Linked DNA regions of Arabidopsis thaliana. The protein of the gene in region 1 interacts with the protein of each later gene in a pairwise test. Each region holds a gene or a part of one and is shown on either strand. Other genes may lie near its edges.

The links. The genes of interacting proteins can lie anywhere in the genome.
Region 2: the proteins of MAP1C (region 1) and GLR1.1 interact in a protein complementation assay, tested with the Arabidopsis thaliana proteins (one large-scale study listed by BioGRID).

Annotation. Positions count from the first base shown.
Region 1 is NC_003070.9:4,542,011-4,549,760, forward strand, and holds MAP1C (methionine aminopeptidase 1B), read left to right. Parts: upstream 1-2,878; 5' UTR 2,879-2,988; coding exon 2,989-3,127; intron 3,128-3,325; coding exon 3,326-3,410; intron 3,411-3,520; coding exon 3,521-3,758; intron 3,759-3,842; coding exon 3,843-4,004; intron 4,005-4,091; coding exon 4,092-4,133; intron 4,134-4,215; coding exon 4,216-4,287; intron 4,288-4,450; coding exon 4,451-4,530; coding exon of another isoform or gene 4,531-4,564; exon of another isoform or gene 4,565-4,633; coding exon 4,634-4,731; intron 4,732-4,854; coding exon 4,855-4,902; intron 4,903-4,999; coding exon 5,000-5,145; 3' UTR 5,146-5,363; downstream 5,364-7,750. Other genes in the region: RAV1 (uncharacterized protein), read left to right, coding at 376-1,410; AOC4 (allene oxide cyclase 4), read left to right, coding at 5,614-5,848, 6,013-6,542. UniProt on the Arabidopsis thaliana protein: Removes the N-terminal methionine from nascent proteins. The N-terminal methionine is often cleaved when the second residue in the primary sequence is small and uncharged (Met-Ala-, Cys, Gly, Pro, Ser, Thr, or Val).
Region 2 is NC_003074.8:1,073,910-1,082,399, reverse strand, and holds GLR1.1 (glutamate receptor 1.1), read right to left. Parts: upstream 5,165-8,490; 5' UTR 5,040-5,164; coding exon 4,784-5,039; intron 4,601-4,783; coding exon 3,393-4,600; intron 3,305-3,392; coding exon 2,992-3,304; intron 2,903-2,991; coding exon 2,568-2,902; coding exon of another isoform or gene 2,479-2,567; coding exon 2,164-2,478; 3' UTR 1,896-2,163; downstream 1-1,895. Other genes in the region: GAPC1 (glyceraldehyde-3-phosphate dehydrogenase C subunit 1), read right to left, coding at 65-211, 322-421, 516-631, 995-1,095, 1,185-1,214, 1,320-1,323; AGL57 (AGAMOUS-like 57), read right to left, coding at 6,478-7,101; SIP1A (small and basic intrinsic protein 1A), read left to right, coding at 8,369-8,490. UniProt on the Arabidopsis thaliana protein: Glutamate-gated receptor that probably acts as a non-selective cation channel. Can transport sodium, potassium, and calcium ions.

The DNA.
Region 1 (7,750 bases):
TAATATAGTAACCTAAATTAAATGCCGTATATTTCATTATGTTTCCACGAAGCTTCCTTTGTGTTCTTTGAGTTGACCCATACACACCCATCTTACTTCCCATGCACCTGCACATATACTATAATTACTCCCCTCAAACACGCATTCTTACAAATATATTTTTTGTTATTACCAAATAAAAAGTGAAACATAAAATAATAATATCAGAAGTGACACTTGCTGTTTCTTATTTCCCTCCCCCCAAGCTCTTTCTCCTTCTTTCTATATATATTATACACACACACGTATACATATACACAACATAATTCACAACACAACACAAACACATTTCTGTTTTCTCCATTGTTTCAAACCATAAAAAAAAACACAGATTAAATGGAATCGAGTAGCGTTGATGAGAGTACTACAAGTACAGGTTCCATCTGTGAAACCCCGGCGATAACTCCGGCGAAAAAGTCGTCGGTAGGTAACTTATACAGGATGGGAAGCGGATCAAGCGTTGTGTTAGATTCAGAGAACGGCGTAGAAGCTGAATCTAGGAAGCTTCCGTCGTCAAAATACAAAGGTGTGGTGCCACAACCAAACGGAAGATGGGGAGCTCAGATTTACGAGAAACACCAGCGCGTGTGGCTCGGGACATTCAACGAAGAAGACGAAGCCGCTCGTGCCTACGACGTCGCGGTTCACAGGTTCCGTCGCCGTGACGCCGTCACAAATTTCAAAGACGTGAAGATGGACGAAGACGAGGTCGATTTCTTGAATTCTCATTCGAAATCTGAGATCGTTGATATGTTGAGGAAACATACTTATAACGAAGAGTTAGAGCAGAGTAAACGGCGTCGTAATGGTAACGGAAACATGACTAGGACGTTGTTAACGTCGGGGTTGAGTAATGATGGTGTTTCTACGACGGGGTTTAGATCGGCGGAGGCACTGTTTGAGAAAGCGGTAACGCCAAGCGACGTTGGGAAGCTAAACCGTTTGGTTATACCGAAACATCACGCAGAGAAACATTTTCCGTTACCGTCAAGTAACGTTTCCGTGAAAGGAGTGTTGTTGAACTTTGAGGACGTTAACGGGAAAGTGTGGAGGTTCCGTTACTCGTATTGGAACAGTAGTCAGAGTTATGTTTTGACTAAAGGTTGGAGCAGGTTCGTTAAGGAGAAGAATCTACGTGCTGGTGACGTGGTTAGTTTCAGTAGATCTAACGGTCAGGATCAACAGTTGTACATTGGGTGGAAGTCGAGATCCGGGTCAGATTTAGATGCGGGTCGGGTTTTGAGATTGTTCGGAGTTAACATTTCACCGGAGAGTTCAAGAAACGACGTCGTAGGAAACAAAAGAGTGAACGATACTGAGATGTTATCGTTGGTGTGTAGCAAGAAGCAACGCATCTTTCACGCCTCGTAACAACTCTTCTTCTTTTTTTTTTCTTTTGTTGTTTTAATAATTTTTAAAAACTCCATTTTCGTTTTCTTTATTTGCATCGGTTTCTTTCTTCTTGTTTACCAAAGGTTCATGAGTTGTTTTTGTTGTATTGATGAACTGTAAATTTTATTTATAGGATAAATTTTAAAAAGGGTTACTTAGATATGTCTCAAGAGTTTTATTAGCATGAGATGATGAAAATGTTGTTACCAAATCTTACCTTGGTTTCTTTTCATTTTATGTGTATGGGAACTCGTATTTATATGTATGCATTAGCTACTGCTTATGGTATTTGCTGCTTTTTGTATATAGATTTGAGGAGTTATGACTTATGCGTACGTAATTTTATAAAATAACTCCAACCAAAAGAGAAAAAGTTTGCAGGGTCTGTAAACGTATATAATCGTATGATGATATGATAGACCATACTCCGATACAAATAACCAAAGAGAAAGATATTTTAAAATGAATGCTATTTAAGCTTTTGCAAGATATTATTTTAAGCTTCAGAAATTATTGTGTTGGTAGAGAGATTCATGTTGCTGTTAAATAATATATATGTATTTATAATTCTATCTACTACTTTTTCGGCTTAACTCAATCTAGATATTTGTTTCTAAAAGTGTTTTAGTTTTCTTTCTTTCGCTGGCTGCGACTATGAGTATCTTCAGATTCTCTACAAACTTAGGTATATATAGCTATTTATTTCGAAGGAATTTGATGGTTAAAACGAATAACATTAAAACTCTGTTAATCTCTTACGAAATGGTATATAGTATATGCGTTAGAGTTTGAACATATGATGATAATAGTACACCTGCCGCATACATTACTATGTACCTACATAAAGGAATATATTGACCATTGATCTAATGAATGTTCCGTTCATATGCACTTTCTTTCGATACAATTCGGTGGACTATAACATTATTCCATTATAGCATAAAATCCTATTATACAATTAAAAATGCCCACGCAATTTTACGTATACTTTTGTCTATAACACACATCCACACATAATTCAAGTTGTGTTCAAATAGTAACACAGCAGTAGCTTTAGTGAAAATTATTAGACTTGTTGATACCAAAGACTAGAAAGAAAGAAAATAAATAAATGTACTAGAAAAAATCCACCATCATAATCGTTATTGTTGTTTGATTTTTGTGGATCCATTTAGATATACATTTATCAACGACTAATTCTCAATCTAACAAATTCTATAAGATAGGAAAATTTTGAAAAAGCACGATCATAATTTAGAAAAACACAAGTTAATCATAAAGTTACTAATTTAATAGCTATAATTTCTTTTAGTTACAAGAACCATAAAAATGTCGTCAAATATCTTTTAGATAATCTTGTCATAATTCAAAACTTCAAGCAAATCATATCTTCATAAACCCCATATGGCCTAAAGTAGCCTATACTTGATCGATCATATACAAGCCCAATGGGCTTTAAAGTCCATTAGTTTGTTAATTAAAATATCAAGAACCATTTTTTTTTTCTCTTCACTGCAAATTTTGATATTTTGGGTTTTAGCAGTGAAGTTTGCGAAAATGGCGTCTTCGGTTTTTCTATCCAGTTTCTCGTCATCGTCTTCTTTGCAACTCTGCTCTTCCTTTCACGGCGAGTACTTAGCTCCGTCGAGATGCTTTCTCGGAGCTCCGGTCACTTCCTCTTCTTTATCACTCTCCGGTTTGTCATTTTTACTTGTCACTGTTTCTTCGTTTGCTCTGTTCGTTATTCAATTATTGCTTCGTTTTTCATTGGAAGATATCGAAATTATTGGTCATCTGATTGGAAATTTTGAAACTTTCTCCGTTGTTCCGATTTTGAATGTTGTATAATTGAAGAACTTTGGTGTATGAAGTTTATCTTCTCTCATATCTGTAGGTAAGAAGAACTCATATTCTCCGAGACAGTTCCATGTTTCTGCCAAGAAAGTTTCTGGGTTAGAGGAAGCCATTAGAATCAGAAAGTAATTAACTTTGTTTAACTCTCTTGTATCATAAAAATGCAATCTTGAAAAAAGAATTCATCTTTTGGTCATAGAGCTAATAGTACATTAATTTGGTTTACATTTTATAGAATGAGAGAGCTTGAAACTAAATCAAAAGTTAGGAGAAATCCACCATTAAGACGTGGAAGAGTATCGCCTCGTCTTCTTGTACCTGATCACATTCCAAGGCCTCCTTATGTTGAGTCTGGTGTATTACCGGATATATCAAGTGAGTTCCAGATTCCTGGTCCTGAAGGCATTGCGAAAATGAGAGCTGCTTGCGAGCTTGCTGCTCGGGTTTTAAACTATGCTGGAACTTTGGTTAAGGTAAGATTTTAGTTTCCTTGTGGATCTTTTGTTTTCCTATGTTATGGATATGTGGTCTGAGTTGTTGTTTATATGGTTCTGCAGCCATCTGTTACGACTAATGAAATCGATAAAGCTGTGCATGATATGATTATTGAAGCTGGTGCTTATCCTTCACCTCTTGGATATGGTGGATTTCCTAAAAGTGTGTGTACTTCAGTTAATGAGTGTATGTGTCACGGAATACCAGATTCTCGCCAGCTACAGGTCCTCATGTGTGCTTTTTACTGCTTTAAGCTGAATAGCTTTGAAGGAGTTCATTTGTTTATCACTAACTATTAAGTCTTAATGCAGAGCGGGGATATAATCAACATCGATGTCACGGTTTACTTGGATGTAAGTCATTTGCGCTTCTTTTGTTAATTTGCAGACACTTTCACTTTGTTTGATTTCTACATACAACTTGAAACATCGACAGGGTTACCATGGAGATACGTCGAGAACTTTCTTCTGTGGAGAAGTTGACGAAGGTTTCAAACGACTTGTGAAGGTAGTATTCTTCTTCTTCTTCTTCTTCTTCTTCTTCTTCTTCTTCTTCTTCTTCTTCTTCTTCTTCTTCTTCTTCTTCTCTTCACTGTGTTTTGTCTTCAAGTTCACAAAAAAATGAATTCTGTTTTAATATGCTAACTGTTGTCGGTTTCTTGTTCTGTAAGGTTACGGAAGAATGTTTGGAGAGAGGTATTGCAGTTTGTAAAGACGGAGCAAGCTTCAAGAAAATCGGGAAAAGAATCAGGTTGCAACCAAAACTATTCTTGATTTCAATATAACCGTGTAGAAATGTACTATTTGAGGACACTGCTAGAACAAACAATCTCAATGCTTTCAATTTCCAACAGTGAGCATGCGGAAAAGTTCGGCTACAACGTTGTGGAGCGGTTTGTTGGGCATGGTGTTGGACCAGTATTCCACTCCGAACCTCTTATATATCATTACCGTAAGTAATCTCTTCCTTAGCAAAATCGTTCTTATGTTAGGAAACATCAATCAAAAACAATAGTTGGCTGCATATGCATATGAACCTGGACTTACGGTTGAGGAATTTTAATCCAATTTGCAGGAAATGATGAGCCTGGACTAATGGTTGAGGGACAGACATTCACAATTGGTTAGCCATTTTTTCCCCTTCCATGTCATGGCTTTCATTTGCTTATGATTAGGTGATTACTATATAATAAAAAACCGATGAATACATTATGTTGCAGAACCGATTCTCACGATTGGAACCACAGAATGTGTAACATGGCCAGACAACTGGACTACTCTGACAGCAGATGGTGGCGTCGCTGCTCAGTTTGAGCATACCATTCTGATTACTAGAACTGGTTCAGAGATTCTTACCAAATGCTAAAACTATTCACATTGATCATTTCCATTTCACCTTTTATTTGCTGATCATTTAAGGTCCATAGTATAAATTCATTATCTTTGAGACCATAGTCTAACAATTTGTGTTAGTGCCATCTTTTAAGATCTCAAGATTAGTTTGCTATTAGAAATTTTCCCACATGTTCCCTCAAGTCTTTCTTTATTCCACAAATTCCCATTTCACAACAATTATTTGCGACTTTTTTTGTTTCCCTGTCTTTTTGTGTTTAATTCTTAGTTATTTTAGATGAAGCTAGAGACCCACTTTCCCATATTTACGCACATGGCTCCTCATCATTCATCATCACGATAAAAATGCATAGTACATAAAGTATCCATTAAAACGTAGATCTAGTCTCTTCACAACACTTCAACAGTTCAACTAATAACGCAAAAATCAGTTTCTCTTTGAGTAAGTGTTTATTACAATTAAACTAACTCAGGCAAGTCTATGATCATGGCTTCTTCTGCTGCTGCATCGATCTCTATGATAACTCTAAGGAACCTCTCTCGCAATCATCAATCTCACCAAAGCACTTTTCTCGGTTTCTCTAGATCCTTCCATAACCAAAGGATCTCATCTAACAGTCCAGGTCTCTCCACACGAGCAAGATCCACCACTTCCTCCACTGGAGGTTTCTTCAGAACCATTTGCAGCAGCAGTAGCAATGACTACTCCAGACCAAGTAAGTAAAAAGTTAACCTTTATGCTCACAACTAAGTACCCATTTCATGATTTGAGAAAATTAGCATCAAATTAGGTATAAGAACAAAAAAAGAATCAACCTTTAAGCTCAAAATCAAGTACCCATTTCACAAAAACTGATTTTTATTTTGTGAAAAATCTCAGCTAAGATCCAAGAGCTTAACGTCTACGAGTTCAACGAAGGTGATCGAAACAGTCCAGCGGTTTTAAAACTAGGGAAAAAACCAGATCAGCTTTGTCTCGGAGATCTTGTCCCCTTCACAAACAAACTCTACACAGGAGATCTCACAAAACGCATAGGAATCACCGCAGGTCTCTGCGTTTTGATCCAACATGTTCCAGAGAAGAAAGGTGATCGCTTTGAAGCTTCTTACAGTTTCTACTTCGGAGATTATGGTCACATATCAGTTCAAGGACCTTATCTCACTTACGAGGACACGTTTCTTGCTATCACCGGTGGCTCCGGCGTGTTTGAAGGAGCTTATGGACAGGTCAAGCTTCGTCAGCTTGTGTATCCTACGAAGCTGTTTTACACTTTCTACTTGAAAGGTGTTGCTGCTGATTTACCTGTGGAGCTTACCGGAAAACATGTTGAGCCGTCGAAGGAAGTGAAACCGGCGGCTGAAGCTCAGGCGACTCAGCCCGGCGCTACGATCGCTAACTTTACTAATTGAAATCTAAATCTTTGTGGGTGTCTTTGTCATGGATCTTATTGGGCTGTTGTTCATTGTGTTTACATTTTAATAATGGGCCTAAATAATGAGCCTTTGTATTGGGCCGTTCTCGTAAGCGTAATGTGTCCCGTCCCTATAAGCTGGATTTAAGCGCGTGAACTCCACCTTCCGATATTTTTTTTTGATAGATTATATCAAATCCATGGATACTTTCTATATTTGGAAAGTTTGGCTTAGTAGGCTCGTGGCCATGTTTGAGCTAAAACTCATAAACGAATCTTTTTAATGTTCTTTCACCGAATGCTTATTTTGTATTTTTCATCCCCTGAATCGGTTTTAAACATAGTAATTTTATCTGGTATACACTTTTTTTCAGAAGAAAACCAATTTTGTGTAGCATAAAGGAGAAATCTATTTGCAACTGTTCATTAATTAAGGACTTTGCTAGACGAGAATAGTTTTGATCTTTTACAATTTTTATTCTTACAAAAAAAAAGATTGTAGTAGAATAATTTTTTCTAAATTTTATGTACTTGTTTCAGTTTGCGTATATATATCCATAGACTTTGGTCATAAACTTATACTTTAATGAAGTCATGTTGAATGGAGTATCAGTCCAACACTCCTTCAATATTCATCAGTTTGCAATTTCCAAAACGACATTTATGACTCCCGTACCTTCGAGGACCAAATTATTCAAAGTTTCAAACGAAATATTTTTACTTGTAATTTTTTTTTTTTTTTTGGAATCGAGATATTTGAAATATGACAAGTAGTCTGACAATTTAACTATTTAGCTATCTTAGCTCACGTAGATTTTTTTTGGTTGTAGAGATTCGAACGAAATTTATGCTTCCTCCAATTATAAATAGAAGCTGCAGTTATGCGACTTTGGTTTTATCATATACTGATATACATCATGTTATCACGACTTTTTGCACGAATAATTTTCGACATATCCTTTTGGTTTAAAATTTAGAGTGGTAGTTAACAAAAACTGAAAAACATTCATAGAATGCTACTTTCAATCTAAGAATTTATTTTCTTGCATCTCAACTTCTAAATGGAATACTATAGAAATAAAAGAAAAATCAGTAAAAAAAAAGAGAGATAGAGAGAGTGGCAGAGAAACTGAAGTAACCTAAGAGTCGTGAAATTTCTCTCTCCAAGTGTAAGATAGACAAATGTGTGTAACGTTAGACATCACT
Region 2 (8,490 bases), on another chromosome or scaffold:
AATTAGTCACTTCAACTTGAAATACAAAGTCAAATTTGATCATATAGAATATCAGATATTTTACCTTGGCAAGGGGAGCAAGGCAGTTAGTGGTGCAGCTAGCGTTGGAGACAATGTCAAGGTCGGACTTGTATTCGTGCTCGTTGACACCAACAACAAACATTGGAGCGTCTTTGCTGGGGGCAGAGATAACAACCTTCTTGGCACCACCCTGAAAATACAACAAGTCACAAATTTAGTTGAATGATACTAAGCAAATTCTAGCACATAAACTATTTATATCATTACAAGACAAAAATAACCAATTCAAATAAGACAAACCTTCAAGTGAGCTGCAGCCTTGTCTTTGTCAGTGAAGACACCAGTAGACTCAACAACGTAGTCAGCTCCAGCCTCGGCCCATGGGATATCCTCAGGGTTCCTTCACAAATACCAAAAACTAATGAGATTGAAATTCACAACAGTTTGTAATATGTATACACGCAAAGAGACAGAGAACTGGTTGATAAATGTACCTGATGCCGAAAACAGTGACTGGCTTCTCACCGAAGAGAAGGGTCTTCTCATCCTTGATCTTGAGTTCATTGTGTTTCCATTGACCGTGAACACTGTCGTACTTGAACATGTAGGTCTGCAGCAATCAAACACAGAGCGCAATCAAAATCAACTCAACCATATCAACTCTAATCACAAACAGGCTAATCAATAACATTACAAACACAGCAAAACAAACAACAGCTCCACAAGTATACTGATCAGCTAAACAGTATGAACAATGAACACTAAACCAGTTTCCAGATCTGTGCACTAATTGAACAAATCATCTGACACTTAAATCCACATGCATAATCCATAAATGATATGATCCATCTATCAAATCTAACGAAAGCAAAGGTACCAGAGCGACTAACAGAATCTTATCGTCAAGAGATCAAAATAATATTGAAGCAAACCAAGATCGAATCACCGTCAAAACCAAGGAAGGAACACTAACCATGTACTCAGTAGTGATGAAGGGGTCGTTGACAGCGACGAGCTCAACATCGTCCCTCTGGAGAACAACTCTAGCAACCAAACGACCAATTCTTCCGAATCCTAACGATAACAGAAATCAACAGTCAGATTCTAGATCTAGATACATGAGAACATACAAACCCGAATTACAAAATCGATTCGAAACTCACCGTTGATTCCGATCCTAATCTTCTTGTCAGCTACATAAAACAACAAACAAAATCAGAAAAACGATCAGATCAGAAAACTCAACAACGTAAAATAGCAGCGACGGGACGAGAGATTAGTAAAAGCGAGAGACTAACCCATTGTAGAATCGAAAACGAGAGTTAGAGAGAGGTTGAAGATGAGATTGGCAGAGAGAGATTTTAGAGTGAGATAGGTGAGTGAGAAGGGTTCCGTGAAGAGGTTATTTAAAAGAGAGAAGAACGTGGAGGAGGGGTCGGAATGATCTAGTGGCTGAGAGTTTTTCTTGGCCAAAAAGTCAGATCTGATTCAATACTTTTCTTAACCTAAAAGACCAAATTGCCCTTAATCATTTTCCTTATTTACCGTTGTAGCTCTGTTATTTTGGCAAATGTCGTCATTCCTGAGGCGAGACATGGCAACTGCATCTCACGCGCTAATCTGGAATATTCTTTAAATATTTAAGACGGGTCGGGTAAGCATGAAACGCAGCGTATTTGGATATGCTTTTATGCGCCGACCAGTGTTTGACTGCCACGAGTTCACGAGCGGCCCATTTTAGTAGACGGGTTCCATTTTCTAGAACGTAACGCCCAAATAAAATTATATTTTAGAAAAGTATATATTTCAAGTTTTCAACTCTTTAGGAGACTTTCTTTAAAAGAAGATATTTGATAGGCGTATATGGACAAGAATTTGAAAATTTTGATTTGATAAGCAATATTCAAAAAAGCAAAAGTCCCTATCAAAAACTCGATTAGTTGATGTATTTAATTCAAAAAATACTTCGTGATGGGTGAATCACTTTAGTATTTACGTGAATTAAATTATTACATGTGAATTTAAACGGGAAAAAAAAACAAGTATTACATGTGAAATTTGTTTCGAAGTGTACTTTGTTGTTACTTATGAGTCCTGTCCCGTCAATTGCTATAGTAGAGCTTATGAACGATGGATCACTTTTTACTTATAGAAGCTTTGAAGTTTGGTGCATAGTCGTGATACCTCTTGACGCGTATGAAAGAGATGTAGGGCTAGTACGAGAACATGAGCAGCTCCCGCAATGATGAACAAACCGCGCAACTCACGGAAGGTGAATCGCTTAGATGCCTCATCATCGTCGTTGGTAGATGCAACTTCCTCGGTGTTGGAATGTACATTTAGTGAATCCAGTTTTTGAAACCATTTTTTCTCCATGTCTTTCAACATTCCCAATGATCTTAGCTTCGCGATTTCTCGCGATACTTTAGGAACCAAATCCGAACCTTTCTGGAACATCTGAGAGGTAAACATAAATTAGTACGTAACAAGAATAAGTAACCAAATAATGGAGAGAAAATGAGAGGTTTGAGGAGAAGGGTACATACAAAGCCAAAGCCATTGGTATTAGTCACTCTATCTGTCATTACGAAATCATTCGGATAATTTCCGATAAGGATACTGAGATAAGGTATTTCATTGATGACATGATTAAGAGTTCCATCTCGCAAAAGTTGTGCATAGGCCTCAACTGCATTAATGGATCCGAGCTTCGCAGTCATTGACGTCGTAGATCCCCCGAAAACCATCTGATGATTTAATTGCATGCGAGAAATGGTCTTGGTTGATGTCAAGTTTGCGCTGTAACTTGAAGTCAATATTAACACCACAAAAACCCAAACTATGACTAAGAATCTTGATGACATTTTCTGTAGCTTCTCTCCTGCCAAGAATGTGCGTAATTTGTTATAGATCAAAATATACAAAAGGATGGGATTTCATGAAGAGTAGTACTCTAACATAAACACTTACTGTGAGCAAATACAATGGTTGAGAAACCAAACCAGAGCATCATACTAAGTTGTTGTCCCCAAGAGCCCTGAAATTCCGGATTAACGGACCGTTCAACTAACCAAACAACAATCCCAGTTAAGACAAAGAAAGCTCCACTTGCTAGCCACAAGGATTTTTCGAAAGGATCAAAGAAGGTCCACATCCCTTGGCTTTTCTTTTTCACTGTCAAGATTCCAATACCAATGTCAGTGTACGGCAAAGTAAAATCAACATACAAAGATCTGTTGGAAGTGATGGTGATATCACCAACTGCTGCATCATACTTGTCTCTCTGTCAAAATTGCAAACACACATTATTAGAAACATACATAATCATTTTTGACTAGAAAAATGTTTTTAAACTGTTTGCATTTTCACACCTGAGTAGAAAGTAGATAAGCAAGATTGTCATTGTTTCCACGGTAAGGTATGAATTCAAGCTCGTAGTTAAAAGGAGCAATGCAAGTCTTGAAAACCTCTACGCAGAATCCAGAGACAGTATTAACACCTGTTTCAGGATCAGGACGCACCGACACTAGATGCGGGACCTTGTTTCCTGCGGTAACTAAGACCCTAAGCACCTTCTTTTCACCTTTCTCTGCCAAAACACGGTGTCTTGGGATCTTACGAGACCTGCCAGGCCAAACAATCTGTCTTCTTTGGCTAAAACTACCACCACTCCATAATCCTATCCTTCTCTGTTTTTCTCTTCCAATATTCACGATTTCAAATGTCTCTGAGATAAATTTGTTGTCAGAGATTTGGATGTCACCACTCAAACCCTTGAATCTACTATGTCTAATTGTATCCAGAAGATCAGCTGATACATTCGAAGATGCTTCAACTTTACCACTTACACTGAACTTCTCTACTGCATTTGCTAGAATACAAGCGATATCGTGTGCGCGTAAACCGATGATTACACTAGAATGCTCTGTTTCTGTATCATCTCCCATACGTTTCCTCAATCTTGAAGTAAAATTCTTAACTTCTTCAGATACAGGGATGTAAGATTTGAAACCAATGACCCCTTGCATCGACCTAGTTATTGCAAAATGTTCCAAGTAGTTCATGGTTCTTGCAGTGAGGATCCAAGCGAACGCTTCTTCCATCAAACCTAACTTCTCTACACATTGGAAGAGACGAGAAACAAGAATCTCGGACATATGCACCACAAAAACCGATGCTCTTGAGACCTTAAGCTTCCTTAGCTGATTCATCATATGATTTTCTCCTGATGATGAGACTGCAAAAGAAGCAGAACGAGCGATATAGATTCCTTTATCTTGAAAATTCTCAACCAATATTTGCAAACTCTCACTCCAATCATCAGCATCCTCGTATATAACCACAACCGATTTACAACTGAAATCTTGTATGAGACTTGTAATTCCCTTAGCCTCTGATGTAGTATCATGCGTCCATTGAATAAAGTTATCGTATTTCTTCAAAGATAACGTGTTTGGCAAGAAAGTAGATATGACCGGAACTTTAGCTTTTTCGCTAATCGTCGCCAAAAGCTTTGCCTCTTGTAATGATTGTGCACCAACAATGGCTTCCGCTTTTGCATTTTTGAGAAGATCAGTAGCTGTTTCATACAAACACAAATTGCAGTGCAAAACGGTTAGTGCAAGACATGAGAATGTTAACCGGAGTAAACCGGCGGGACTAGGTCAATTCTTTTTTATTTGATTCAGTCTGCTTTAAATGAAGAGGAGTTGTGGATCCCACCAAAAATTGCAATAATTGAATAAGGGAGATGAAAACTCACCGGCGGCAAGAGCAATGATCGGGTCTCCTTGGGAGTCTCTGACCAAAACAGAGACTCTGGTTCGGTATCCATTGTTGATGCCATAGAAATCTGAAAGCGCTAAGTTAAAAGAAGTTTCCAGAATCTTGCCTTGTATAGAACTCAAGTCAACCACCAATCCAACCCTAACCTCTTCGAAAACATCATCGTCGCTTGGAGCAGCTACTACTCCGGAAAAGAGAAGAGCAAGAATGGAAATAGAAAACAGAATCTCCATATAATTTCTTGTATAGCTCTGTAACGTTCGCTTTGGGTTATAAACAATGGTGTTTCCATATCTACTTGTGCCATGGAATAATAATTATACTGGACCATTTTTTTTTTCCGGTCAAATTGCATTTTGATTTTCTGAAGTGTATGGTCACAATCATTTTAAATCAAACTAACGCGATATCGCACACAATCAAAGTCAATGTGTACTGTTCATCGACACAAATTGACTAGGAAACACATTTATTTCCTTCTAAAGTATAGTTGAGCCTTAAAAAAAGTTTTATTTAATTTATGTTTTCAACAGTTACTTTTAAAACTGATTTCAAAATCCAGGTTAAATACAATGTAAAATACATATGCAGGGGAAACCATAATACTAGATATATTAGCTTATTTCGCAAAGTCAATTCGTAGAAGTAAATATTCGAGTTCAAGTGATAGGACAACCAAGTGATATATAATAAAATCTACCACAACCCGAGAAGCTAAAAAAAATCACAAGCTGGTTAGTTCAACTCGTCGAGGAAAAATCAAATCAAGAGATTAAAACTCTAGTCTAGGATGATCCCACAGTCATCTCCTTCTACAATCATTAAATTATTACTCTATCGAAACCACACGCTCGCGAATACTTATAGAGTACATGTGGAATGAGATAACGTTACCAGGGAGATTAGGAGACTTGGCTTATAGAATACTTATGGAATACATCTCCCTCGCGACTTACCTGCGCAATGAAAACTTTTTCTCGTCTTGTTCAATAGTTGTACTTCGCACAAAGGATAATACGATCATAAAAAGACTCATAATACGATCTTCGATATACCCGCGCAACGATGGATCACATAAACGGTCGCATGGTTGGAAAATTTAGGGCTCATCTCTGATTGTTTTATTTTCTTCACAAAGGGGCAAAAATATATATATACACTGTATATATATATGGGGTTTTTTTTATGGTCAAATGTTATTGCCCTTCGAATAAGAGACCTTTGATTCGTAAGAAGAGATTATTATTTTATAAGAGAAGGTTATGACCGAAAGGTTTCTGAAGAAAATGAAAAATTACTTTTAAAAGGAATTTTATCTTTAAAAGGAAACAAAAGGAATGGTTAAGTTTTACATGATTGGACGCAAAAATGGAAAATTCTTTTGATTACTTCAAAAAAGGAAACCCTCATTTCTTATTAATAATACATCAAATAAAAAACTAACATGATTTTTCGCAAAATATCCAATTTGTGAAGACCCTAACGCTCGAATTTGTCATCACTTGGCTCAGTCTTTCAACTTTTGAAAACTGAAACTCCTTTTTTCTCAATACTGTTAGATAATAGAGATATACTCGAGACGATTGAGCTTCGTCAAATGGATACATGCAGTATTAAAATCAGCAGTTCAAATACAAAGAAATTTAAATCATCAAGTATGAATATGTATGATCATGCTTCACGATCGAACAGACGAACACCACCAGAAACTCGACGTCCCACACGAACAGAAGATGAACCACCACAGTCTTTTCCCAATCGTAAGTGAGCCATATTGTCGCATAAGTTATCACGTAACTCGAGCATCGCTTGGTACCTTTGCTGCAGCTCCTTCGCGCTCAAACCTTCCGAAGGAAAGTTCCACCACATTTTATCTAACTTCTTTTCATTTCTCGATTCCTTCAACAGTTTCAACTTCTCTAGATCCATCGCAAGCTCCTCTTCGAGCGCCTCCATTTTTTTTACGAGGTCGTGGAGCCTTCGTTTCTTATAAGCTTCGACGAGGGGTCTGGTATCGTCTCTCTCTAATGGTTCTTGTCTCGAAGGGTTCTTTAACCGGTCAGCCACTTTCTTCATAGACGGATGTGCGAATGTATAGGGCTTCTTGGGTTGAGAGAAAATCAAGAAAGCCACTTCAACGTCACACATTGCTACGAGCTCGTTCATTTTCTTAAAAATTCCGGTTTTACGTTTTGAGAACGTAATCATCCTATCTCCATAGTTCTCCACCTTCTTCATCTCGATCTTTTGCTTCCCCTTTGTTTTTCTTCCCTTTGCTTGCTTCGTAGATGACATGTTTGCAGAAACCAGAACTAGTGTTTGATTTCTTGTAGGTTTGTTATTTTGTATGTAATGATAAAACCATGCGCAAAACACAATCTATTTATAGACCAAAGAAAGAGATAGGATTACAAAGTTTGGAGACATTAAATTTAAATCTTAGTTATGAAGAAAGTGTATTGACTAATTTACAAAAAAAAAAAAAAAATGTTGACTAAACACATTTGGCAACCACTTTAACATCTTCATTAATCAGTCAAGAAACTATTATGGTAACCCAATTGGTGTAATAGCTGGTGTAAAGGCTAATTGACCATTCAAGGAGGAATGTTCTTTTAGGTAATTACGAGTTTGTGTATCCCTTACAGGGAACATACCTCAGATCCAAAATTCTTTTGTTACAAAAAAAATAGGAAAAATTTGATATAAAAGATATCTACTACAAAATTTGTCCATAATATTCTTATTTTTTTGTAGATTAGTCATATAATTTTTTTAAAAAACTTCAAAATCCAAATTTATCTTATTTTTCTATCAAATTTCATTTAAAAAATAAAACTTTTTTGTATTAGTATAAGTCCGTTCATTTGATTAGTCATAACTTTTGCTATAATATTTTGTTTGACTTGAAATCACTATCGTTGGAAAGCTAATTGAAACTAATAGAATTGCTATAATATTCCGTTTGACTTGAAATTACTACCGTTGGAAAGCTAGTTAAAGCTAATAGAATTGAAGTCAATATATAAACATAAAAAAAAAATTTAAAAATTTAATTTTAGGTTAAAATAACTTTAATCTATTTTCTCTAAAATAACAATAACTTAAGGGATGCAATTTATACTTATAAATTTCCAAATTTATATAACATGAAACACATGAAAAATATTTCCTCTCATAGGCTACAGCTAGCTAATATAAAATAAAATCCACGCTTTTTATATGCTTAATTTAAACTCTAATTATTAACTCTAATAAAACCTAGTTTAAGTCCACGTATAATTTCAACTGATATTCAATAACTAATAATTTATATATTTGTTGCAATCTCTGTAAGACTATCGGTTAGGTTAATCATTCAAAGATATCTTCGTTTCATAAAACAAGAAAAAAACAAAAAAAAACAAATTTTCAAAAAGAAAAAAATCTATTTGAGGAGAAAAATAGCTGTGAGAGAGAAAGCTAAAGAGGCGACGTACCACCCACCTAACCACAACCAGATCCCCAAAAGACAGAGAACTTTCTCGATACGAACGCCAAAGAGAAGAAGACGAAGACGAAGATGATGGGTGTGTTGAAGTCGGCGATTGGGGATATGTTGATGACCTTCTCTTGGGTTGTCCTCTCCGCTACCTTTGGAATTCAGACGGCGGCGATTATCTCCGCCGGTGATTTTCAGGCAAT